Oryctolagus cuniculus: one gene and its partners. The main gene of each other region encodes a partner of the protein of the gene in region 7 in a complex. Links are inferred from orthologs where the notes say so. Each region holds a gene or a part of one and is shown on either strand. Other genes may lie near its edges.

The links.
Region 1: CEP290 (region 7) and TMEM237 share a complex: the UniProt entries of both Homo sapiens proteins name them as parts of the tectonic-like complex. The link is inferred for Oryctolagus cuniculus from reciprocal best matches to the Homo sapiens genes CEP290 and TMEM237.
Region 2: CEP290 (region 7) and AHI1 share a complex: the UniProt entries of both Homo sapiens proteins name them as parts of the tectonic-like complex. The link is inferred for Oryctolagus cuniculus from reciprocal best matches to the Homo sapiens genes CEP290 and AHI1.
Region 3: CEP290 (region 7) and TCTN1 share a complex: the UniProt entries of both Homo sapiens proteins name them as parts of the tectonic-like complex. The link is inferred for Oryctolagus cuniculus from reciprocal best matches to the Homo sapiens genes CEP290 and TCTN1.
Region 4: CEP290 (region 7) and MKS1 share a complex: the UniProt entries of both Homo sapiens proteins name them as parts of the tectonic-like complex. The link is inferred for Oryctolagus cuniculus from reciprocal best matches to the Homo sapiens genes CEP290 and MKS1.
Region 5: CEP290 (region 7) and B9D2 share a complex: the UniProt entries of both Homo sapiens proteins name them as parts of the tectonic-like complex. The link is inferred for Oryctolagus cuniculus from reciprocal best matches to the Homo sapiens genes CEP290 and B9D2.
Region 6: CEP290 (region 7) and CC2D2A share a complex: the UniProt entries of both Homo sapiens proteins name them as parts of the tectonic-like complex. The link is inferred for Oryctolagus cuniculus from reciprocal best matches to the Homo sapiens genes CEP290 and CC2D2A.

What each region holds. Positions count from the first base shown.
Region 1 is NC_091434.1:38,296,981-38,301,082, forward strand, and holds the start of TMEM237 (transmembrane protein 237), read left to right. Parts: upstream 1-1,302; 5' UTR 1,303-1,950; coding exon 1,951-1,992; intron 1,993-3,460; coding exon 3,461-3,492; intron 3,493-4,061; coding exon 4,062-4,072; intron 4,073-4,102. Other genes in the region: MPP4 (MAGUK p55 subfamily member 4), read left to right, coding at 609-803. UniProt on the Homo sapiens protein: Component of the transition zone in primary cilia. Required for ciliogenesis.
Region 2 is NC_091436.1:33,446,153-33,449,652, forward strand, and holds part of AHI1 (jouberin), read left to right. Parts: intron 1-445; coding exon 446-1,008; intron 1,009-2,791; coding exon 2,792-2,973; intron 2,974-3,500. UniProt on the Homo sapiens protein: Involved in vesicle trafficking and required for ciliogenesis, formation of primary non-motile cilium, and recruitment of RAB8A to the basal body of primary cilium.
Region 3 is NC_091452.1:8,283,571-8,287,070, forward strand, and holds part of TCTN1 (tectonic-1), read left to right. Parts: intron 1-2,502; coding exon 2,503-2,633; intron 2,634-3,500. UniProt on the Homo sapiens protein: Component of the tectonic-like complex, a complex localized at the transition zone of primary cilia and acting as a barrier that prevents diffusion of transmembrane proteins between the cilia and plasma membranes.
Region 4 is NC_091448.1:33,633,795-33,636,562, reverse strand, and holds the end of MKS1 (tectonic-like complex member MKS1), read left to right. Parts: coding exon 1-36; intron 37-725; coding exon 726-859; intron 860-1,350; coding exon 1,351-1,433; intron 1,434-1,518; coding exon 1,519-1,616; intron 1,617-1,701; coding exon 1,702-1,793; coding exon of another isoform or gene 1,794-1,858; 3' UTR 1,859-2,268; downstream 2,269-2,768. UniProt on the Homo sapiens protein: Component of the tectonic-like complex, a complex localized at the transition zone of primary cilia and acting as a barrier that prevents diffusion of transmembrane proteins between the cilia and plasma membranes.
Region 5 is NC_091449.1:13,268,936-13,272,922, forward strand, and holds the start of B9D2 (B9 domain-containing protein 2), read left to right. Parts: upstream 1-1,187; 5' UTR 1,188-1,415; intron 1,416-1,489; exon of another isoform or gene 1,490-1,711; intron 1,712-1,784; 5' UTR 1,785-1,788; coding exon 1,789-1,876; intron 1,877-3,987. UniProt on the Homo sapiens protein: Component of the tectonic-like complex, a complex localized at the transition zone of primary cilia and acting as a barrier that prevents diffusion of transmembrane proteins between the cilia and plasma membranes.
Region 6 is NC_091433.1:10,626,688-10,630,187, forward strand, and holds part of CC2D2A (coiled-coil and C2 domain-containing protein 2A), read left to right. Parts: intron 1-2,447; coding exon 2,448-2,570; intron 2,571-3,500. UniProt on the Homo sapiens protein: Component of the tectonic-like complex, a complex localized at the transition zone of primary cilia and acting as a barrier that prevents diffusion of transmembrane proteins between the cilia and plasma membranes.
Region 7 is NC_091442.1:90,797,009-90,800,508, forward strand, and holds part of CEP290 (centrosomal protein of 290 kDa), read right to left. Parts: intron 1,125-3,500; coding exon 1,071-1,124; intron 497-1,070; coding exon 476-496; intron 351-475; coding exon 198-350; intron 1-197. UniProt on the Homo sapiens protein: Involved in early and late steps in cilia formation. Its association with CCP110 is required for inhibition of primary cilia formation by CCP110.

The DNA of each region.
Region 1 (4,102 bases), on a different chromosome or scaffold from region 7:
CCTCAAGTCACCTTTGTATCATCCTCCATCTTGTTACTTTTATCTTCCTACTTTTTTCAATGACTACGAAAGTCTGATTCTCCAGTTTGCCTTTCAGATACAGTCTGGGGCTGACTTCTCTGAGTCACTGGGGCATTTAAAATTGTGTTCTCATTTTGATGGCAAACTTGTTTCACTATCATATGTATGGTCACTATCATACTTGGTCACCTTTTAAGGGAGTATTGCAGCAAAATTTGTATTTTGAGTGCTCATGGACACATTAAAATAACAGCAATTAATTTAATGTTTTAATGCCCAGTGAAGGCCAAATGCCTTCACAGAATGAACATTTCATAATAGTAGAAATAGAAAATATTACAGTGAGTTAGGGACGTCCAAGTCGACATAGCCAGGTCTCACTCTCATGCTAAAAGCAGCCATTTTGTATTTGCAAAGTCATATTTTTCTTATTCACTTTCATTTGAAATTGATGTTCGCATTTCGAACATCTAGCCTACTTGCTTTTAAATAAATAGCTTCACAACGAATGTGACAGCATCCGCGTGTATTATTTCTATTTGTCTCATGAAGTCCGTGCTACCTGCCTTTTTCTGTTTCATTTGAAGGATGAAGACCTACAAGAGATGGAGGATTTGGCCCAAAAAATGGAGGCTCAGTTTGGCCAGTTTTTTGATTACGTGATTGTGAATGACAACTTGCAAGATGCGTGTGCCCGGTTGTTATCTGTTGTACAGAAGGCTCAGGAGGAGCCTCAGTGGGTCCCCGCCACGTGGATTTCCTCCGACACCGAGTCTTCATGAGGTCCCCTGCTTCGGGCTGGAGTTTTAGCGCTGCAGCCTTGTCGGGGAGACCTGGAATAACAGCTGCTGTCTTAACAGCAGTACTGACCCATGTTAGTGTGTGCAACTGGATAAGTGCTGCAGTTCATTAACAGTATCGCAACAGTATGGCTCTGTATTATATTGCAAGGCTGTGCAGAGTGACACATTTGGCATTTAGGGAAACCTTTCTCTTTTCCTTCCCCTTCGATGCGGTTGTGGTGGGCATATCAATAACGTCACCAAGAATGAGCGCTTCTTAGGGACTTCAGGTCTTTCCAAGATTCAGTTAAAAGGAGCTTTCCTAAATAAAATGAGCAGTATTTAATTTCGGAAATGCACTTTATGAAACTTCTGTTTTGTGAATGCCTTTTACACAAAGTATCTACTTGGCTAACTCAGCAAGAAAGGTTAATGTACACATTTCATGGGTAACATCAACACCTCGAGATACTGAGATACCGCAAGTCTCCTGCATAGTCCCTAGAAGAAAGCCACGAGATGAGGATGCTATGCTAGGGTCTTTTTCTTTCTTCCCCTGTATCTGGGACCCCCCAGTAGCTCTCCCGGCCCCTTATCAGTTCATCTTCTGCATCACTCTCTCACCCTACCCATTCCAGCCCTCCCATCGCTTTCTATAAAGCATGTAATGACTCATTTTTTTAAACTTAAAAATAAGTTCCCTTTCTAAAAATATCCAAATAAAACAGAAAATGCAGTCATTTTAAACGATATTTAGATAGGCTGATTTAATTTTCTGTTGTGGCTCTTTGAGAAGGTTTCTGATTCGATTTACGCACTGTCGGTAGACGCTGTGAGAACTGTTTATTTCAATTGTTTATTACGCACTGTCGGAGACGGTGTGAGAATTATTTCAATACACACGCCCACCCGGAGTCCCGCCGGGGAGTGTCCAGCCCGGGGCGTCCGGGCGTTCCTCCCTACCCCAGAGCCCGGAGACGCGGGGCCAGGCAGAGCAGAGGCGGGCGGGGACCCGGCTCGGGCGTCAGCGGTCTCGCCGGGCGCTGCGAAGCCGCCGCCTCCCGCAGGTCCCGGAGGCCGGCGCGGCGCGGGGAGCCCGGCTCGGGCCGAGGCCGTTGCCCTGAGGGAGCCCCGCGGGGCGATCGCCATGAGGGACGACTCGCGGTTTCGTGTGGAGGAGGGCCGCCCGGTGAGTGGGGAGGGAGCGCGGCGGCCACGAGGGTCCCCTGGGGCAGCAGCAGCCCTCGGAGCGGGGCAGAGGCCAGCGGTGGGGGGCAGCAGCGGCCTGCCCTACTGGCCCCGGCCCCGTGGGCCGTTACTGGACCCCGGAGCTGGCCGGGAGTGTCCGGGGGCCTGAGCTCGCGTTGCCACGACGCAGCCTCCGTCCGCCGCCGCCCCGGCTGGGCGGGCTCCGCGGCTGCCAGCGAGCGGCTCTTCCAGGCTCCGTCGGGAGCGCCGGGCCTTCCGCCCGGAAAGAGAGCGTTGTGGCTGCGGAGCTTTTAAACCCAGGTCCTCCCTCACGCCCCGCAGACAAATCACAGCAAACCCTGGGGAAACCGTGATTGGAGCCCCACGGCCGCCGGAGCCTCTGCTTTCGGCCCGTCAGCCCAGGCTCCTAAGCCCAGTTTCCCGCACGGCCAGTCTGCAGAGGTCAGGCCCGGCCCCGGTACCCACAGCCCCCTCGCCCTACAGCCCACCGAGGGGTCTGCGGGCCCGAAGCGGCCTGGGCCGCGCAGCCCGATGACGCACTGCGCCTGCGCGGGCGGCCGGGCGGGCGGGCGGGGGTGGCGCCGCACGTCCCAGGGGCCGGAGGCCTACGGGCCCGGCTTTAGACAGAATGGGGAAGAAGCAGGTGGTAAGCGAGCGGTGGTTATGTTTGAGCGGTTAGGATTCTTGTCTCGGGTTGAGCCGTCCTGCTTTAGAGGGGCTTAGAGGTTGGGTTTCTGCTGTGGGTGAAACGTCATTTTTGCGGGATGTTTGAATGAGGGAGTTAGCAAGTGCACTGGACCTTGGGCTGGAACGCGCTTCGTAGCATCTTTAGAACAGCGGCGCTTTCGTGCGACTCCTTTCCAGTGTAATGTTTGACCACTGCATAGGATTAAGACAGTCAGCCTTGTCCTGGATCTTGGAGTATTTGCATTCATGTACTATTTGAACAGAAGGATGGCTGGGTGAGACCAACTCCTAGTATCTAGAATTTAACCGCGCTGTCTCCTGCAAGTAGCGAGATCCGTGGACCCTTAAATTGTTGATTTTGAAGGATTCCAGAATGCATCTTAGCTGCAGTGCTGTCTGCACTGCTAACACGAGTTTTCTCATTCATATCAACCTTTCTGCCCTAAAATCCTGTCTGTGGCACTGTTACTTGCTGCGCACGTTACAAAGTGGCGGAAAACTTCTATTGGCTTCCTGTTGAATTAGAACAAAACCCAGACTCCTTCCGTTGTTCTGACCCTGGGGCGTGTGCTTGGCCTTTACTGTCCTTTAACCCTGATTCTACCATTACCCGTCAGGGTGCCCTCACCGGTGGCCCATCAGATTTTTCTGTCACTCTGAACAGCAGGCTGTTGAAAGAACTTAAGGGTATTTGAGATTACATGAAGATGCCCAGGCTTTTACTTATCCACAGTTTTCTTCCTCCCTCCCACCCCCCATAGCGGCCTCCACGAGCTCTTCCACCTGTACCAAGGTAAACATGATTGACAGTAACTTAATTGTTGAACTTTAGAAACATAAAGCGAATAATGTTTGACGTGTAGTGTTGAGAAAGTATGATTCAGAAGAAACTTCCAAAAATTTAAAGGTAAAGCATCTTTGGGGCCTGAGGATAGCAGTTGTAACTGAATGTTCTCCTTTATTCAAAAGCCTGATTGTCACCGTGGTGTGCTGGGGGAGATCCGTGCTTGTTAGTAGAATTCTAATCCTCTTTTGTTTGCCAGAATAGTTTCCTGAGAGGTTAAGCTGATTATAGTGAGTGACAAATAACAGTTCCTAATCTGCTTTCTTATAGACAATAGGGAATATGGGTATGTGGGTCTTGAAAATGTTGGGGTTATTTTATTAGTAGTATTACATGGTATAGTTCTCACAAATAATAAGCTAGTTTGTAACCTGGCTGACATTGTGTGAAAGCTGATTTTATTTTAAGTATATAATGGTTTCAGTTATTTTTAAATTTAATTTTAAGTAGATTTGTAATTAATGGTTTCTTTTTTTGTTTTTCTCCTGCTGACTACATTTGGTCGGTATTATATGAAGTGCTATTCAAGGTAAGTTTATTATTACGTAAAATTATCAAA
Region 2 (3,500 bases), on a different chromosome or scaffold from region 7:
CCCTGAGCTATAGATTTTTTAAGTGGGGAGTGTAATTATGAAGCCAAATCAATGAGCTGGTACATTTTCTGTTTAGGAACTTGAAATATTTTGTACTTCGTGACTCCTTCAGCAATTTCTCAAGTATTTCTTAGCTAGATTAGAGTGTGGATCATTCTGCCAATGAGGAAAATAGCATTTGAGAGTTGAACAATTAATTCATTTCTGAAACATCCATGTATACTTTCCCCATGTTAATAACTCACTTGATCTTAAGTTACTTTTAGGGTTTACTAATATAAATCTTGGAATGTAAACTATGAGAAATTTCCTCAAACGCTCTAAAACAGACTCATTGATTCCAAGTAAAAAACTCAATAATCTTCCTAATATAATATAAATCAAACTGTTCATGTAAGCAAACTATGCTTAGCTGAAAATTTGTTCTTGTGTCTTCTTTTCTTAGGCTGACGCTGTTAGAAGCAATCTTCAGAATATTAAAGAAAGTGAAAGTGGTGATGTAAAAGCTACTAACACAGATAACCCAGAGAAGGGCATGCGAGTCAGTAAAAACAAATTGAGGAATACTCAGTCTGCAGCTGAAAGTCCACATGATGATGCTAGTGTAGAGGAAGACAAGCAAGGAAAGCCGAACAGAAAGGCTGGGAAGACAGCGCCCCAGGTGACTGCACAGGAAATGGAAGTGGGCACTCCGGAGAAGAAGGCAGATTCTGCACATCAGAAAGCACGACCAAAGTCGCAGCCCGGTGTGGATCATCAGAAAAATGAGAAAGCCGAGGAGGGGCGGGAACATGCCGATGTGGAAGAGGAAGAAGAACTGATGCAAGCGTATCAGCTCCAGGTAGCTGAGGAAATGGCCAAGGAGATTAAGAAGAAAATAAAAAAGAAACTGAAAGAGCAGCTGACTTACTTTCCTTCTGATACTTTGTTGCATGATGACAAGTTAAGCAGTGAGAAAAGAAAGAAGAAAAAAAAGAAAGTTCCAGTTCCATGTAAAGCTGAGACAAGGTACTTTGCATTGATAGCCAGAAATTGTCTTCTTGAGAAAACTGTTATTTTCAACTGAAGAGTGATACCTGTATTAAACAAAAGAGCATTCTTAGTCTTTGATTAGTTGACATTGCACTAAGATAGTGACAACTGATGTTCTAGGTAGCACCTCAGAGTACTCAGTTCTTTGCAAGAGTTAACTCATGTATTCCCATAAGTGAAAGTCATATTTTCACTCTGTTTGCTGTGAGGAAACTGGGGTTTAAATCACAGAACTAGTAAGAGATAGAGCCAGAAATTTGGTAGTCTAATTCCAGACTCCACCCTTAACTATACACTTATGAGTCTGTCTGCTTTTAAAATAATAGAAACCTAATTATTTCCAGCTTTTTGAGTTATAGATGTCTACTTGGATATATAAATGTGCCTTCTCTTGCTCAAATAACATTTTGTTATTGGAGCACAACCATCCAAAGATAATCAGTATTAACAATTTGATAATCTAGTCTTTTTCTGTATATGCTGCTCTTACATATATGTGTGCGTGTGTGTGTGTGTGTGTGTGTATTTGATATGGATTTATATTCATATTTATAGGTTCTCTTCTTGTAGAAAACATCAGATAAAAATGTCTTTTAACTTCCATAATTAACATTCTCCCCCTGCAATCCTAATTTAGAGAAACAACTTGAGGTAGGACCATTTTAAAGTGACTATTCCTTGGCATTACAAGAAAATTATCCCTAAGGCCCTTGGTTAAAAATAATTGCCCTCTCACCAAAAAGTAGATCAATTGTAACAAAGAGAAGGTAAGTCAGGTTGCTACAGGGACATGTTAGTATCTGTTTTATTTTTCCGTTGCTGCATTAAAAAATTACTGCAGAATTTAGCAGCTTAGAACACCAAGCATTTGATTGTGTTACTCTTTGTATGGGTCAGGATTCAGAATGACTAGATTGGGTGCCTCTGACTCTCAAAGGATTGTCACCCCAGCAATCAGGATGTTGGCCAGGGCTCAAGTTATCTCCAGCCTTGACTAGGGGAGGTTCTGCTAAGTGGCACAACTGTCAGAAGGCCTTGGGGACAATCCAATTCTACGCTCATGCATGTGGCAGTTGGAAGTTCCCAGTCCTGACTAGCTTTTTGCCACCTCTCACCTCCTTGCTACTCACAACATAGCCACTTGCTTCCCCCAGAGTGAGTGCTCTGAGAGAGTGCAAGCAAGACAGAAGTCACGATCTTTTTGAAATCTGATCTTAGAAGTGACATCCATTTCTTTGGCATATTCTGTCGATTAGAAGGGGGTCACTAGGTCAAGCCTTCACTCAAACAGGAGAAGAGTATACAATGACGTGAGTATCAAGAGGCAGCAATCAGCAGGGCCACCTTTAGAGGCTTCTACCATGTCTAGCTCCTCCACACCCTCCCAGTCTTTTAAATAAATAAATAAGTAAATGGAAGTTTTTTTCATTTTTCAGTTTGTTCTTGGCAGCAGAGTGAAGATGTTTTGATCACACAGATCCATTGCATATAAAATAGAATTTTCTCCTATGGTTTTGAGCCTAGTTTGAGTTGGCTCACAGGCATATAACTCTTTTACAAGAATTACATAGTGCCTATGATACTTAGTTTGGCCACTAACAATTTTAGTGTATAATAAAATGTGGTATGCATCTCCCAGCAGAAAATATTGACTTTGAAATTGTGTTTGCTTCTATGCACTGGTCATTCTCTTATAAAGTGAATAGTAAGTAATATAATAATATATTTGGAATGGCTTATCCTTGGATTTTATTTACAGTTCATTGACCATCTCTAATGACCCAGATGAAGGTGAACAAAAGAAGGAATCTCCAGTTGAAGCAGTTACTTCAGATTCTCATCAAGATGATGAAATAAACTCAATGGAACAAAACACAGAAGACAACATGCAAGAAAACATAAAACCTAAGCCCAAAAAAACAAAAAAGAAAGTTAAAGCAGGTTTGTTATCCAAAGTAAATGAAAAATTGTGTACCTTGGTAGAAACTTAATTTTAAGAAGCTTAGACCTTATAACTAAAACTAAAGGATATAATTGAAAATAACCCAATATAGAATATTTAGCACTTTTTCTTGGATTTGTCTAGATTAAAACATTCATTTATTTGTAACTGAGTCTATGGTGAGTTATATTTTTTGATTTAATTCAACTCAAGAATGATGTTGACTTTGTTGTTGCTAATGTGACATAGATTTCTTCTTTAAACCATTGAGTTTAGAGCCCTAAATGGTTAAGACACAGTTGTTGAAAGCTACAAATAGTCAACAGCCATAAACCTTTCAAATGTTCAGGCTACATCCCTCAGGCCAGCATAGTAACTTTGCAGTTCCTCAGCTATATTCAGTTTCTCCTTCCTCAACTTTCCTTTTTGCCTCTTGCTTTCTCTTGTCTTTTTTCTGATTACTTTTGTCTTACTTTACTTATTGTTGCCTTGTTAATCACTTGTTATATCTTTTTTATTTCAGTTT
Region 3 (3,500 bases), on a different chromosome or scaffold from region 7:
GGCCAGGGCATTAACCCGCTGTGCCACAGCGCCGGTCCCACTTTTTTTTTTTTAAGATTTATTTTATTTGAAAGGCAGAGTTACAGAGAGAGGTAGAGGTAGAGATAGAGAGAGGTCTTCTATCCACTGGTTCACTCCCAAGATGGCTGCAAGGGCTGGAGCTGTGCCAATCTGAAGTCTAGGAGCCAGAAGCTTCTTCCAGGTCTCCCACAAGGGTGCAGGGGCTCAAGGACTTGGGCCATCTTCTTCTGCTTTCCCAGGCCATAGCAGAGAGCTGGATCGGAAGTGGAGCAGCCGGGATTAGAACCGGTGCCCATATGGGATGCCAGCGCTTCAGGCCAGGGCTTTAACCCGCTGTGCCACAGCACCAGCCTCCATTCTTACCTTTTTTTTTCTTTTTTTTTGACAGGCAGAGTGGACAGTGAGAGAGAGAGACAGAGAGAAAGGTCTTCCTTTGCCGTTGGTTCACCCTCCAATGGCCGCCGCGGCCGGCGCACCGTGCTGATCCGATGGCAGGAGCCAGGTGCTTCTCCTGGTCTCCCATGGGGTGCAGGGCCCAAGCACTTGGGCCATCCTCCACTGCACTCCCTGGCCACAGCAGAGAGCTGGCCTGGAAGAGGGGCAACCGGGACAGAATCCGGCGCCCTGACCGGGACTAGAACCTGGTGTGCCGGCGCCGCAAGGCAGAGGATTAGCCTAGTGAGCCGCGGTGCCGGCCATTCTTACCTTTTGATTCAGCAACTCTACTTCAGGAAGTAGCATATCCTGAGGAAATAATTGGAGACATTTATAAAGATGTTTGTATAAGGAGGTCATTATAACATTATGTCATTATAACGTTATGTGGGGAAAATTAAAAACAACCTAAACCAGCAGTAGCGGATTGCTTGAACATGTTGGGTGAATAAGCTGGTATATGATGAAGCCATTTAATATAATATTGCAAAAACATGTTTGATGACCTGGGAAATAATTTGGCATTATTAAATGAGAAAGGACTTAAAGCAGTTTGTAGAATATGATTCCATTTCTTCCATGACTCTTCTCCGTACCATGTCTGTATCTATTCAGTTGATTATAGTTTGTGAGATCTAGGATTGGTTGAGGACTTGACTGTACCCTAACTTCTAAGCCCTAAACCTTCCAAATGACTTCACATTTTGTTCCCACAATCCTTTGAAGACAGCTTTATTCTAGACAAGGAGTTTTTGGTTTGTTTGGGTACAAACAGTTGCACAAAAAATTTGTGTAGTTGATTTTTTCAAAGTCTAATGGTTCATTATACCCTTATCTGTATTTTATACTTGACAAGAGCTCCTTAAAGGTTATCATATTTATCTTGATTTTTTTTTTTGTTAGAGAAAAGTTTCAAATGCCAAACACTTCAACACTTAAGAAATTAAATAGAAATGGACCGGAGAGGGCGTTTAGCCTCGCAGTTAGGACTCCGGACACTGGTATCCGTGACAGAGGACCCGTTCAAATCCCTGGCTGCAGCTTCTGACCCAGCCTCCTGCTGATGCACACTCTGGGCGGCAGCAGTGATGGCTCCAGTCCCTGGGTCCCTGTGACCCACGTAGGAGACCTGGGTGGAGCTCCTGCCTTGGGCATTTTGGCCATTTGGGGAGTGATCTGCAGATGAGAGTTCTGTCTCTCTGAATCTCAAATAAATTAAAAAATGAATTCTGGTGGTGCCGCGACTCAATAGGCTAATCCTCCGCCTGTGGCGCCGGGACACCGGGTTCTAGTCCTGGTCAGGGCGCCGGATTCTGTCCCAGTTGCTCCTCTTCCAGGCCAGCTCTCTGCTGTGGCCCGGGAGGGCAGCAGAGGATGACCCAAGTGCTTGGGCCCTGCACCCGCATGGGAGACCAGGAGAAGCACCTGGCTCCTAGCTTCGGATCAGTGCGCTGGCTGCAGCGGCCATTGGAGGGTGAACCAATGGAAAAAGGAAGACCTTTCTCTGTCTCTCTCACTGTCCACTCTGCCTGTCCAAAAAAAAAAAAAAAAAAATTCCAAGCTGTTTTCTTTTTTTTTTTTTTTTATTTATTTTTTTGACAGGCAGAGTGGACAGTGAGAGTAGAGACAGAGAGAAAGGTCTTCCTTTGCCGTTGGTTCACCCTCCAATGGCCGCCGTGGCTGTGGCTGGCGTACCACACTGATCCAAAGGCAGGAGCCAGGTGCTTCTCCTGGTCTCCCATGGGGTGCAGGGCCCAAGCACTTGGGCCATCCTCCACTGCACTCCCAGGCCCTAGTAGAGAGCTGACCTGGAAGAGGGGCAACCAGGACAGAATCCGGTGCCCCGACTGGGACTAGAACCCAGTGTGCCGGTGCCGCAAGGTGGAGGATTAGCCTATTGAGCCATGGCGCCGGCCCCAAGCTGTTTTCATAACTACCCTCCCTATAACTGTTAACGTAGGACAGTGCAAGCATGACACTTAAATAATTGTGCTGAGATTGTGTGCTCATGCCTTCACACTTGATGTTGTTATATTTAATTTTCAGGGGTGATAGCCAGTTTTGTAGTCAAAAGGCAGCCATCTATTCCTTGAATTTTACCTCAAACCCACCTCAGAGGATATTTAAACTTGTCGACCAGGTCAATCCATCTATTTTCTGCGTTCATATTACAAACTGTAAGTATTTGGATTGATGCATTTTGTGAAACTCTGGAATATAGTTCTTTCAAAGTTATGTTATGGAAAAATATCTTGCTCTTTTAGATTAAAGCAACCGTGTGGGTAGAATGTGTACCTTCTGAGGCTATTCCACAGTTATCTGCAAGTAACTTGTAGAGCTTTGGGCACCATGTTTTCTTTAAAAGTGACTGTGCTTGTTAGTTGTCTCTGGAAATTTTTTGCTTAATTTCAAACATGTTTATAATATGTGGACATAGGTACATGGAATCTGGATTTAATATGTATACATGTGATTTTCTTTTTTTCACTTTATTTCTTCCTGGTGTAATGGGTGAAAATTAGGTTCAGCTTTGAACAGTACCTGTGGTTTCTATTTCCTTTTTCTTTTTTATTTTTACTAAGAATATTTGCATGAAAACAGGATCTTTATTTTTATCTGAGCATTTAGCTCAGAGAAGGTCTAAATCCTGAGTACATGTGAGAGTAAAATGTTACCAAGGCGTCAGAGCCCGGAGACACAGCTGCGGCTTTATCAGTTAAATTCTGTCTTTTTGGAATGTCTGTGTGTATTTTGGTTTGTCCCCCTGTGACTGAAAACTTACATGAATGCTCGGCGATTTTTCGTCTGGATTGATGACTAGCCAGTGAGGGTCAGTGTCTCTGCATCACGCCAGTCTGGTGAACGTACCAGCCCGTTCCCTGCTCCTGGCTCCTCTGTGTGTAGCACTCTGGGCCAGCTGCCCCGTGGAGTTGCTGCAGAGCCTCACGCCCGTGGGCTCCAGAGGAGTTAGCTCTTGTGCTGTGATCTATCTTGTAGGACTGGAATCCATTGCTTCCCCCTCGTTCCAGAAGCAGGCTGAGCCC
Region 4 (2,768 bases), on a different chromosome or scaffold from region 7:
AAGGCTACGGGGCTGTGGTGCTGCCTGTCACCCCAGGTAACCTCTCGTCCCTGTGCCAGAGGCTGTGGGTCCTGGGGCAACACTAACACTTCCAAAAGGTGTGCGTGTCTCTCATAAGCAGCAGGGTCATAAGAGATGAGAAGCTTCTCCTGTGAGGAATTGCTGCCAGTCCGTTGCAGACATCTGAGCAACAGCAGAGCTAACTTCTGCAGCTGAGCAGCCTGGCCACCTCTGTTCTCTGCCCAGCGCTCTTCCGATGCAATATGGCCTTGAGGAAGAAGCTGCAGGGCGATGGGCCCTGAGTGCACACACTGAAGGGATCTGCAGTCATTCTGAAATAAAAGCACTGATCTTTTATGGAGTGCAGACCCTGAGCTAAAGGCTTCTCAGTTAATTCTTGTGGCCACTCTGTGGGGCGTAGGTCGTCATCTTTGCATTTTACTAGATGAGGGGAAAGAGGCTCTGGGAGGCTCTGAAACTTTGTCCTTGAGTGTACAGGTCACAGACGGCCCGGCCGAGATTTGCATTTCCGTCTCACTGGTTTCCACCCAGGTGCTCGTCACCACTGTGATAGCCCTCACCAGAGGCTAGGCCGTCACGAGCCCTGACATTTCTTCCTCCATCACTGCAGGTCTCAGTGGTGCAGGCCCGTGGCATTGCTAGGAGTCAGAGAGGGGCCATGTACCCTTTCGGGACCTGGCCCCACTCCCTTCTCCCTTGCACAGGCTCGTATACCCTGACTGTGTCCACATGGAGGCCAGTGGAGCTTGGCACGCTGGCTGAGCTCAGGAGGTTTTTCATCGGCGGTTCTTTGGAACTGGAGGACCTGTCTTATGTTCGGATACCAGGAACCTTCAAGGTGGCTTTTGTCTGAGGAGACCCCATGCTGGGAACTTACACTCCTGTCTCTCTGTTCTCTGGAAGGCAGAGTCTGGGTTAAGGCCCCTTGGTCATCATTGCGTCCCATTACTTAGCGCTTGCTTCCTGTGACTTCCGCTGGAAGTCATGGCCATGTTTGGAACCAGGTGGGGGATCTCTTCTGCTCTCCAGGAGATCCCTAGAAAGGAGTGCCCTTGGAGCTTTCCCACGCTCCTTGTGGAAAACGAAGGGCTCAGTAATCAGTGGGGGAGGAGTGGCAGGAGGCTGGCAAGGCTGCCTAGTCTCAGAGGAGCTCTGCAGGCTCCCTGGTCACAGTGGGGCAGCCGGTACTGGCCCTGAGCTGGTGGGATAGGGTCTCCCCGATGGAAACGGTCTTCCTGAGAATGAGAATCAGAAGGGCGGCAAGGCCAGTGTGGGGCCCCAGGTCCAGAAACCTCAGAAACCTGATGCTGTCCCATCCGTATGTCCCAGGGGGAGCGTCTGAGCCGCTTTGGATTCCGCACTGAGACCACAGGCAGTGTCACCTTCCGCTTGCACTGTCTGCAGCAGTCCAGGTGAGTGGCCCTGGCCCTGTGCCTTGGGACTCCTTATCCCTGGGTGCCGGGCAATGCCCCAACCGTGAGGTGGGCTTCCTTGCAGGGCCTTCATGGAATCAAGCTCCCTGCGGAAAAGGATGCGGAGTGTGTTGGACCGTCTGGAGGGATTCAGCCAGCAGAGCTCCATTCACAATGTGCTGGGTAGGTTGCCCTCCCCAGCTGGCCGCCCAGGGCCATGTGGGCCGTGTTCCTGCCTGTACCATGGCAGCGTCTCCTTCTCCTGCAGAGGCCTTCCGTCGAGCCCGGCGCCGCATGCAGGAGGCCCGGGAAAGCCTCCCCCAGGACCTAGTGAGCCCCTCAGGAACCATGGTCTCCTAGCCCACCGCAGCCCTGGCCCACCATGCAGGAAGACACGACGAGAGAGGGGCTGGCACAGTCAGTGATCCTGTGGCCCCGTGTGGCCCCGCTTCACATTTCAGCAGCTGCAGATGGGCTCCACAGCAAGGCAGGCTTTCTGGTCTGAGACTCATTTGGGTGAGCACACGGTCAGCCTGTTCTTGACCCAGCCTCTTGCACGGGCTCAGTGGTAGGGAACAGCAGGCAGTTCCTGCCCACAGCCTTGCAAAATGGAACCGATTTTCTTTCAAGAAACAGGAAGGAGAGACTTAAACCACTGGCCCCTCAGTCTCAGCCGCCTCTTTCCAGCACAGCCTTCTGCTATTGCTTGGGGCTTATTGAGCTGGAGATGTGACTCATTTCATAAGCGAAGGCTGAGGGCAGTGCCTAGTCCCTTCTGTTAGCTGGGCAGTGTGTTTTTATTGTGCTTTTGTGCATAAAAACTTTTTTATATTGACTGATGTTCTGTGGCTGCTTCTCTGCTCAGGTCACTGGCATGCCTGAGGGGTTCGTCTCAGTGCTGGGGCCCCTGCTGCTGTTCCCACTCTAGAGTATTCTTTGGACTCTCCATTCAGCCCCAGAAGAGGCCTCCAGGAGAGCACCAGCCTGCATCTTGGCAGCAACCCTCTTCAACATCTGGGGCGAGCAGAGGGCTGTGGCCGCGCCCTCCCTGGCCAGGCATAGAAACGGCAGCTTTATGCTTAGCTGTCCTTTATTGGTAGAGGCAGAACTTGCTGCCCAGGCTGCAGGCTCAGGACTGTGGGACCATGTGGTCTCCCAGGCATGGGGGTGGGAGGAGGAAGTTTGGAAGACAGAGGAAAGTGCTGGAAGGCCTCAGCTGACTCTTGCTGGGCCTCAAGGCTCATGGCTTGGCTCCCAAGTCCTTGCATGTGGTGTTGATTCATAACCTGATGCCCAAGAGGCTCCAAGCAGGTGTGTTCGTTCCTGTGGGAGACC
Region 5 (3,987 bases), on a different chromosome or scaffold from region 7:
AAAAGGCAGAGTGCCAGGTGAGAGAGAAGAGAATGAAAAAGGAAATCTGCCATTTGCTGGTTACCTCCTCAGAGGGGGCAACATCAGGGCCTGGACCAATTCAAAGCCAGGAGCGCGTGCTGCATTCCGCCCTCCAAGCTCCTGAGTCCACTGCCTGCTGTCTGCTCAGACGCACCCCAGGAATCTGGGACTCAGCGGGCGCTCTGAGGTGCAGGCGCCACCAAGCCGGCCCCTGCGGGCCTATTGAAGACATCCATAGACGGTGACTCCTTCAGTCTGGAACAATCCCACAAGCTGGGTGCTGTCATTCACCCTGATGGGGGACAAACGGGAATAGATGCAAATGACGCTGGCCTCAAGTCTTCATGAAGCAGAAGCCCTGTGTACCCCACCCCGTGTGTCCGCGAGGACCAGGACCTGACGCCCTGCAGTCCTCGTTACCAGGGCTGCACGGAGCAGGCACGCACGACCGTGGCGTTCCCAGCTGTCTGTCAGGAACCTTCTTTCTCGGATGGCGCTACCTGTGTGCATGCTGTCCTGTGCACCTTGCTGCCTCCCCGGTCCTCCACGTGTGCAGCCCCCGCGGTAGGAGGCGCGGCTGGGCGGGACTCCCGGTCCTGAGGACCAGGCTGCCCTGGACGCGGAGGCGGGGAGAGGCGCTCAGGACCTCAGGCGCCCGCGTGCACCCGCCCCACGGCCCGGACCGCTGGGCCCGGGGACGCCGCTCGCTCACAGCACTGGCGGCGAACGTGCAGTCGCTGGGAGGGCCCGGACCGCTGGGCCTTGAGCAGCCTGGGGAACTCCGCAAGGGAAGGGAAGCCCCGCCCCAGCCTCTGAGTGTCTGAGAAGAGGTTGTTTCCGAAGTCGAGGCCGGGGGATGCACAGAATGACCCGAGGGAATTCCCCCGAGCTCAGGCTCAAGTCTCTCATGTGGGGTTCAGGACGGGAGACAGGTGTTCTTTAGGGGGAGGAGGCGGGCCGCGAAGCTTATTTTGACACATTTCCTGGAGAGGCTCTGCAGCACAAACAGTCGGCGCTCAAACTTCCCGGCCACACTCAAGATGGCAACTGCCCGACCACGCCCCCAACGGCGGATCCCGGGGCCGGGGCTTGGGAGAGGCTACGGAGAGATGTCCATCACGGCATTGCCCCGCCCCCGAGGACAGCGAGCACCAATCGGCCGCGTGCAGGGCGGGGGCAAGGCCAGGGGAGGAGCCTGCTGTTGTCCCAGCAACGGCCAGGGAGCCTGAGGCGAGGGCGGTCGCGGAGGTTCGCGCCTTAGCGCCCTTGCTGTCAGGGAGGTCCCACGGGAGGCGCGAGGCCGGCGTCGCTGGCGCCCGCGAAGAGGACGGAGTCGGCCCAGAACCAGCATCCGGCTGCCGCATTCGCTCCCACTAGCCGTTAAGCTCTGTGAGGTAGGAGTGACGCATGCGCAACGAGTAGGGGCGGGGCCGAGGTGTTCGGAGGCGGGCCTCGATTCAATACGCATGCGTCGTCGAGCCTGTGGCGGGGCTATCAGCCGCGGGGAGGCGGAGCTTTGATGGCTGTGGGTGGAGCTCTCGGCCCCTTAGCGGGACTTAGCCAGGTCAGGAAGAGGTTTAAGGAGGGCATAGTTAGGCACCGGTTCCCAAGTCTAGGGCTACTCCCCCCATCTCCCGGGGAGACAGAGTCGGTGGATAACTCTGCATCCTCAGAGGGTTGACAAAACCAGGTTGGTGGCCTTCTGCCCCTTGCTTGGGCCTCAGTTTCCCTACTCAGAGCTGATTGTTTCTTTTCCCTCCCAGCGCCATGGCTGAGGTGCACGTGATCGGGCAGATCATGGGGGCCACCGGGTTCTCGGAAAGTAGCCTCTTCTGCAAGTGGGGCATCCACACAGGTATTCCCCCCAGGCCTGGTCACTGCCCACCAAGACCCCGCGCTCTCCCTGGACCCTCCGCCCCACCCCGGGTCCTCCTCTCCCCATGGGCTTTCAGCACTCCCGGCCCTGGCCAAGGCTGGCCGCGTGAGGCCCGCACTTCCTTCCTGCCCCGTCTCCGGGGACCCTGGCTCCCACCCTCGGCATGCATGGCCATTGACGATGATGGGCTAGGGGGAGACCCCATCCACACGCTTCATGTCAGAGCGCTCCTGTTAACTCCACTTGCTGCCTTGGGGGTGTGTCCTGGGATCCTCCCCAGCTTTCTCGTTCTTTGACTAGCAGCCTCCATTTATTGAGTTCTTACTGTAAAGTAGAAGTTTGCACCCCAGACTTACAGAGGAGAGGCCACATCCTGTCGTCAGAATGCCTTTCGCTCTGAGAAGGCAGCAATCATCCAAGTCCACACGGCCCAGCAGGGACTTGGAGACCCAGTGTTTCTGTAGGTCTGCATGGAGGCCAGACCTTGTAGAGGTGCAGTGTGATGGCCAGGGTCATAGGCAGCCACATCTGGGTTCAGATACTAAGTCCCCATGTATGTATCTGTGGCCTCTGGACTTGACCTCTCCAGCCCTCGGTCTCCTTGTCTGAGAGGAACGGCACGGTGTGGATAGCAGCTGAGAGGCGGTGTGGCGTCGAGGTTAGGAGCACAGACTGCCTGGGTCCTAACCAGGTGTTTATGTTTTTTAAGGTTTATTTATCTATTTGAAAGGCAGAGTTACAGAGGCTGAGGCAGAGAGAGAGAGAGAGAGAGAGAGAGAGTCTTCCATTCGCTGGTTCATCCCTCAAATGGCTGCAACGGCCAGAGCTGAGCGAATTTGGAACCAGGAGTTGTTGGGTCTCCCACGTGGGTGCAGGGGCCCAAGCACTTGGGCCATCTTCTCCTGCTTTCCCAGGCCATAGTAGAGAGCTGGATCGGAAGTGGAGCAGCTGGGGCTCAAATGGGGCCCATGTGGGAAGCTGGCACCGTAGACAGCCTCTTATTAATAGGTGACGTTAGGGCCTTGTTTGTGCGTCTGCTTCCTTGTGTGCACATGGGAGCAGTAACAACGTGTGCCTCGCGGATCTTTGCCAGGCCTAGGGGAGCATGCGCAGCACGCAGAGCAGGGCTGGCTGGTGCTGTGTGCCTGGCTCGCGGGTGACTCCGACAGGGTCCCATTAGTGAAGCCCAGGCACGTGGCTGCCCAGCCCCAGTAACAACCTATGAGGTAGACGTGGCTGCGTCTCGGGCTTGGGTCCCTTGGACCTGACTTGGATGGGTGAAGTCGCAGGATCAGAGTCGGGCTCAGGAGTCAGACTCCATGTCTACCCGGGACCCCAGCACTCACCTGCTCTGTGATCCCGGGCTGCTGTCCTTTTCTTGGGGCTGTTTAAGTAATCTTGTGTCTACGCAGCCTGACTCAGGGCTTCCCTCACCAAGGCCAGAGGGAGTCATGCTTGGCTTTTATTATCGCAGGTGGCTTTGGGGCATTGAATCCAGCAGGGAGCTCAGAGACAGTGGCCGAGGGGCCTGGTCGCTGCAGTTGGACATTTTACAGACTTCTGCGCTTGGGGATCTTTGGGTGCTGTGGTCACTGCTGTATCCCCAGAGTGGAGAACAGGCTTGGCATACCCTAGGTGCTCAATAAATGTTCATGGAATAATTAACCAAGTGACTTCCTTCTCAGAGCCTGTTTCTGTACTTGGAAAATGGTAATCATAGCACACATAGCTTCTAGGGTCACTTAATTGTCCCAAAAAATATGTATCGACCACCTTCTGTATACCACGCACTGGGGATCCCGCCATGTGCATGGGCCAAGCTCTCCTGAAGCTCATTCTACGAGCGTCAGACACTATATAAGCCGCTGAAGAAACTTAACTCAGTGATTTCCAGTGGCGACAGTGCTGGGGAGAGAGAGAGGCAATGGCTATAGAGGGCGGGTGTTTAGCTCGGGGTTAGGACCTGCACATCCCGCCGCACACCTGGCTGCTGGCTTAGCTCCCTGCTAATGCCAGCCCTGGCAGGCAGCAGGGATGGCCTAAGTGACTGGGTTCCTCCCGCTTACGTAGGAGACATGGGTTGTGTTCCC
Region 6 (3,500 bases), on a different chromosome or scaffold from region 7:
CACTTCTTTCTAGTTTCAAACAGTAAGCAAATTTCTGCTGAGACAGAAGACAAATTGTCACTCTTCTACTGTCTTCCCAATACATCATAGCCAAAACCTTCAAAATGGCCTACAAAGCCTCCTTGATCTGACATCCACCCTGCCTACCCCTGCCTTCTCCCCTTCCTTTGCTGTTATCTTTCCAACGTGCCCACTCCTCTAAAGCCACTTTGTATTCCTTGTTATTCAACAATCAAACACACTTCGCATTTGCTATTTCCTTTGCATAAATGACCACCAATGCCTTCCCAATACCCCTCCCACCTTTACTGATTAGATTCACAAACTTCTCCCTCATTTCTTGCATTTCTGATCAAATGTCGGTTTTTTTTTCCCCCAGGAAAAATTCCTTGCCCATCAAAATTTCTTCTGTTCCTGCAACTTAGTTTTCTCCATGGCCTGTGCACATTTAATTATTATCATAATATCGTAAAAACCCAACTCCAAACTAAATGGCTTCAAGTATCTATTTTCATAGATTTGTGGGTTAGCTGGGAAACTTGGCTGCGGCTGAGCAGCTCTGCTTCATGTTTACTATGGAACTCAGGGCCCTGACAGTGGCAGAGGCACAACAGGGCAAAGCCCCTTAGCCTAGACTCAGGGGTGACACAACAACAAACCAAAGCCAAGTGGCAGGGAAGTGTTTCTCATCTTTCTTAATGGAAGCAACTGCAAAGTAACCTGAAAAAAGATAGCCATAGAGGAAGAGAATTGAAGCTAATGATACAATCTATCTTATCCTTCAACACCATCTATATCCCATGTACTTACTTGCTGATTTGTTTGCTGTATCTTTTTGAAGATTATTTACTTGAAAGAGAGGAAGAGAGAGAGCTCTTTGGTCCACTGGTTCACTCCACAAATGGCTGTAATAGCCTGAGCTGAGCTGGTTGGGAGCCAAGAGCTTCTTCTAGGTCTCTCACGTGGGTGCAGGGGCCCAGGGAATTGGGCCATCCTCCACTGTTCTCCAGGCACACCAGCAGAGAGCTGGATTGGAAGTGGAGCGGCCAGAACTCAAACCAGCATCCATATGGATGCCAGCATCACAGGCAGTGGCTCTACCCACAATGCTGGCCCCACATTTTTTTTTTTTTTTAAGTTCTATTTTATTTGAAAAGCAGAGTTAGAAAAGGAGAGACAAGAGATCTTTCATCTGTTGGTTCACTCCCCAGATGGCTACAACAGCCAAAGCTGGGCCAGACAGAAGCCAGGAGCTTCTTCTGGGTCTCCCACGTGGGTGCAGGGGCCCAAGTACCTGGACCATCTTCTGCTGCTTTAGCACATTAGCAGGGAGCTGGATTGGAGGTGAAACAGCAGAGACTCAATTCGGTGCCCTTATGGGAAAGGCAGCTTTATCTGCTGTGCTGCAATGCCTGCCTCCGATATATCATCTCATTACTCATTAGATACTTTTTTTTTTTTTTTTTTTTTGACAGGCAGAGTAGACAGACAGAAAGGTCTTCCTTTGCCGTTGGTTCACCCTCCAATGGCCGGAGTGCTGCGGCTGGTGCACCGTGCTGATCCGATGGCAGGAGCCAGGTGCTTCTCCTGGTCTCCCATGGGGTGCGGGGCCCAAGCACTTGGACCATCCTCCACTGCACTCCCGGGCCACAGCAAAGAGCTGGCCTGGAAGAGGGGCAACCTGGACAGAATCCAGCGCCCCGACCGGGACTAGAACCTGGTGGTGCCGGCGCCGCAGGCGGAGGATTAGCCTAGTGAGCCGTGGCGCCGGCCTAGATACTCCTTAGAACTGTTTCGTTCACTACTTAACCCGATTAATAAACCTAGGACTGAACACCAGTTAGATGAAAACTTAATCTGTGCTAGACATATCATTCAATATGACTAGAATATGCCACGAGGTAAGCTAGTGCTAAAGACTGAATGGCAAGTAACGCCTATGGTGAACATTCTCAAGGCGAAAGTTTAAAACAATAGTGAAGATGCAGATAAATAACCAGGCAGTTACAAACTGACAAATAATGACAGAACAGCTAATAGTTATTGAGCACTTACTACATATCTATGCATTATTCTAATAAGTACAGGTAAATCAACTCTGAATCGCTTAGCCTTATGAAGTAGTTGTTATTATTCCATTCTTATAGATGAGAAAACTGAGGAACAAAAGTTAGATAAATCATCCAAGGTCAGACAATTGAAAAGTGTTAGGGTCAAAATTCAAGTGCTTGTAGTCTAGTTCCACAACCAACATGCCACACTGCCTCAACAAGACAGGTGCGGAGGGCTGTAGAAACAAAGAGGTACACATTTAATTTTGGGAGCTGGAAAAGCAGGGTCAGGAAAGAAAACATGTACAGTCTATGTGTCCATACAATATGCACACACACCAGAGACGTGTGTGTATTTTGGTTAACATATATGCTAATATGGTATTGTTTTTTTAGGTTTGGTTTAATATTCAACAATATGATTCTCCACTAAGGATAAATTTTGATGTTACCAAGCCCAAGCTCTGGAAATCTTTCTTTTCAAGAAGCCTTCCATACCCTGGCCTTTCCAGTGTTCAGGTACAATTTTTTGTTTATTTTTAAAGATTTATTTATCTGAAAGGCCAAATTACAGGGAGCAGAGGTAGAGACAGACAGAGGTCTTCATTTGCTAGTTCACTCCCCAAACGGCTTCAGCCGGGCCAATCCAAAGCCAGGAGTCTGAAGCTTCTTCTAGGTCTCCCAGATGGGTGCAGGGGCCCAACGACTTGGGCCATCTTTTTCAGCTCTCCCAGGCCATAGCAGAGAGCTGGATTGGAAGTGGAGCAGCCAGGACTTGAACCGGCATCCATATGGGATGCTGGCACTGCAGGTGGCAGCTTTACCCACTATGCCACAGCATCTGCTCCAGGTATAATTCTTTTACTAATAATAATAGAATATAGAAAAGAAAATAAAGTGTATTATACTATGTAGCTATATTTTTCCCCTTAATCCCACTCCTGGGTAAGTCTACAACCATATTGGTTTTTCAAAGTTACCTGAGCTCCTCATATGTCTTTATGTAGATGTGAAAAGATCAATATGCATTTTAATGTCAAACAGTTTTGATATAAAAAATTCCCATAATACCACAAAATATATTCCATTTTTTTAAATGGTGATCAATTTGCTAATTCAGTTTCATGACTGCTAATCAAACATGAAATCAAATGTCAGATATGATCCCTTAGAGGCTTATAATTTAGAGGGTCCTGGCCAGTGGAAGACGGTAAGTGGTAAGCCTGAGTTGTTTACTAAAACTTTTCTTCCTATCAAACAAATCAGAATACACATGCATCTGTGTATCAAACCTTTAAAAAAAAAAAAAAAAACTTCAAAAAATACTGCCCTAGAGAAATTTTACCGTATGTGAGAAGATGACATATACAAGATTTTGTGAACTGGAATGACAGGAGAAAAATTGCTACATGCTAGAATGTTAGGAGTTAAAATGAATCAATATAATGA
Region 7 (3,500 bases):
AATATTTAAGATAAGCACATATAAAAAGAATAAATCAAGAACTGTTATTTCCAGGAGAAGTTAACAAGTTTTACAAGTATATAGTTGCAAGTTTATACTACAGAATTTACATGTAGGGCTAAATACTAGAGCGGCAGTATAATAAAATTAAAGTTTTTACAAGGCCATTTCCCTGAAGTGACTTCTACCCACTTTACCTGAATTTCATCCAGATACTGGACAAGTTCATAGTTCTTTTTAGACAACTGAGATCGATAATCACTGTCTTCTCCTCTTCTTGATAACAGTGTTTCTTTTTGTGAATCTATTTGTTTTTGGTAGTCGATAATATCCTGACGCAGCTGTTCATTCTGAAGGTACACCAAGTGCAACGTTGAATTAAGAAACTACCCAGGACAACAAATTGCATTCTCTAACTAATGTTCTGAGAATATACCTTTACATTCCCAAAGTTTCACTACCCTTAGTGTCTCACCTTTTTCTTTAGACGTTTGTTCTCCAGAAAAGAACAGGAAAAAAAGTAATTAGAAATGAGAGAAGCAATAAATAACTAAAAGTAATAAGGGAATTAAAGGAAAAAAGAGAAATTTAAGAGAATGAAATATATTATTTTAGATAACCAAAAGTGTAAGACTATTAATTATCATCCAAAACAAAGAACATTTTGTTTATGTTAAAATTATAAGAATGCCTATAAGAGTAAACAATGTACAAATAATATCAGGCTCAGAAGAACCAAATAATAAATTTTTAAAGATCTCATGAAAAAGCAAAAATTGTTAAACAATACTAGATAAAATGAGAGAAATAAGAACAGAAAATCAGTCATATTCAGTTAGCAAACAGGCAAAGAATGTTTATAGATCAGAAAGAAAGCTTTGCTCATACAGATTTAAAAGATAAATATGGTACTGAATAGTCTCATGTTTTATTTACTAATTCCTTGAGATGAAGTTATATCACAAAATCACTCATTTTGAAAATATCACTTAGAAGACTCCAGTTCTGGTCACCATGTAAACTTTTTTTTTTAAGAAATATCAGTGGAATCACTACAATTTTTTACCAACCTCTCTTCTTAATTTGCTGTTTTCATTTTCTGCCTCCTCATTGCGAAGAGCCAACTAAAATAGTAAAAAAAAAGTGAATAAGAAAAATTCAGCAATAATTCAACATAAAGTCAGGTTTTCAGCCAGTTAGTTTATATTCTAAACCCTCTCCAATAAAGTAAAAAAAACATTTAACTTCTAAGGACTTCTATCAACATAAAACATAAATAATAAGTCAATATTTTTGAAAACTAAGGATTAGGAAGGATAAACACAGAAAGAAAATTACACACAAAGAAATTGTAGGGGCTAGTGTTGTGGTGTAGTGAGTGAAGCAGCTGCCTGCCACGCTGGCATCCTATATGTAAGTTGGTCCCTGTCTCAATTCCTCCACTTCTGATGAGGCTCCCTACCAACCACCTGGGAAAAGCAGCAGAGGATGGCCCAGGAGCTTGGGCCCCTGCTATCCACATGGGAGACAAGGAGGAAGCACCTGGCTCTTGGCTTCAGCCTGGCCCAGTCCTGGCCATTGAAGCCTGATGAGGGAGTCAGCAGATAGAAGATCTCTCTTTTTTCTCCTTTCTGACTCTTCCTTCTCTCACTGTAATTCTGACTTTCAAATAAATAAATAAATCTTTTATTTGAAAAAAGAATGAATTTTAACTAAAAAATATAGAAGTAAACAAATCATTGTCCCCAAAGCACCTCAAAACTAAAATGAGTGGTTGTCTGTAAAGATCTTTATATTTTGTTGTTCTTGTCTCATGGCTAGAATACTCTTGCTCTCAGTGAATATTAAATCAGAAATACGAAGTAATCCAACATAATCATTAATAGAAGTCATCTGAAATCAGATTGCACTAGGTTTATATCCCTGGTCAATCAATTTCTAGTAAAACATGAACAAGTCACTTCATCTATTAAATCCACTTTTCCTATCTCATCTCAGATCAGCACAGCTCCGGCTGTTGCGGCCAACTGGGGAGTGAACCATTGGATAGAAGACCTCTCTCTTTCTCTCTCTCTGCCTCTCCTCGCTCTGTGTAACTCTGACTTTCAAATAAATAAATAAATCTTAAGAAAAAAAGAAGAAACCAATGCTGCCAACATCTGCACTTCACACCCTCAGTTTTCAGAACTGTGACAGTAGATTTCTGTTATTAAACCACACAGTTTATGCTAAAAAAAGTTAAAATTATAATTATGAAATAAATGCAATGTAAGACTTGGAGTATATTTTCTAAGCTCCTTTGATTGTCCAAGAATATTATAGAGATCTTGATTAACATAAAATTTTAAGTTGAGCAAGCATATAAAAATTATGAGTAAATAATTTTTATGAGCATATAAGAATTATGGGGAATGAACCAGCAGGTGGAAGACCTCCCTCTCTTTCTTTCCTCTGCCTCTACTTCTCTCTTTCTCTGTATAACTCTAACTTTCAAATAAATAAATAAAATCTTTAAAAAAATAATTAAATAAGAAGTATATAAATTTTTTAGCATAATGCTCAATGAATGTAACAGCAAAAACTTAGTGTGTTGTTTTCCACACAAAATTGATTTCACCATATCCATCCTTTAAAAAAGGTATTGTTTCATAACCATAATATAACTAATATGCCAAAAATTTTAAAATTGATTGAATAATCTTGTCCATTATCAATTTTCCTCTGTTGTCTCAATAATTTCCTTTGTAGACTCTTAATAATAACCAAGCTTCCGCAAGGCTCACATACTGATGATTCTTCATCATAGACTTTAAAATACAGTTTCATGGCCGGCGCCGCGGCTCACTAGGCTAATCCTCCGCCTAGCAGCGCCGGCACACCAGGTTCTAGTCCCGGTCGGGGCGCCGGAATCTGTCCCGGTTGCCCCTCTTCCAGGCCAGCCCTCTGCTGTGGCCAGGGAGTGCAGTGGAGGATGGCCCAGGTGCTTGGGCCCTGCACCCCATGGGAGACCAGGAAAAGCACCTGGCTCCTGGCTCCTGCCATCGGATCAGCGCGGTGCGCCGGCGGCAGCGCGCAGGCCGCGGCGGCCATTGGAGGGTGAACCAACGGCAAAGGAAGACCTTTCTCTCTGTCTCTCTCTCTTACTGTCCACTCCGCCTGTAAAAAAAAAAAAAAAAAAAAAAAAAAATACAGTTTCATACCATAATTATCTTATATTCTTTTTAAATAAAGGATAAAATAAGAAAAAAGAAAGGTTGTAAAGGAAATTGGTTTTAGTGCATAGATTTTAAAAATCTAAATTATTGTACTTGTGTACTGGAGAAACAACTAGAACAACAACTTGTGGAACAACTGTGCATTCTTAGAATCTTCTGCAAAATCAAAAATAAATATTAATGAGATCTTTTATGAAATAGTGCAGCAAATTTAAAGAGAAACCCCAGTGCCTGGGAAGGCCTACCAAAAGTCATCATGTCAGCTGCTTTAATATACTAAATGTG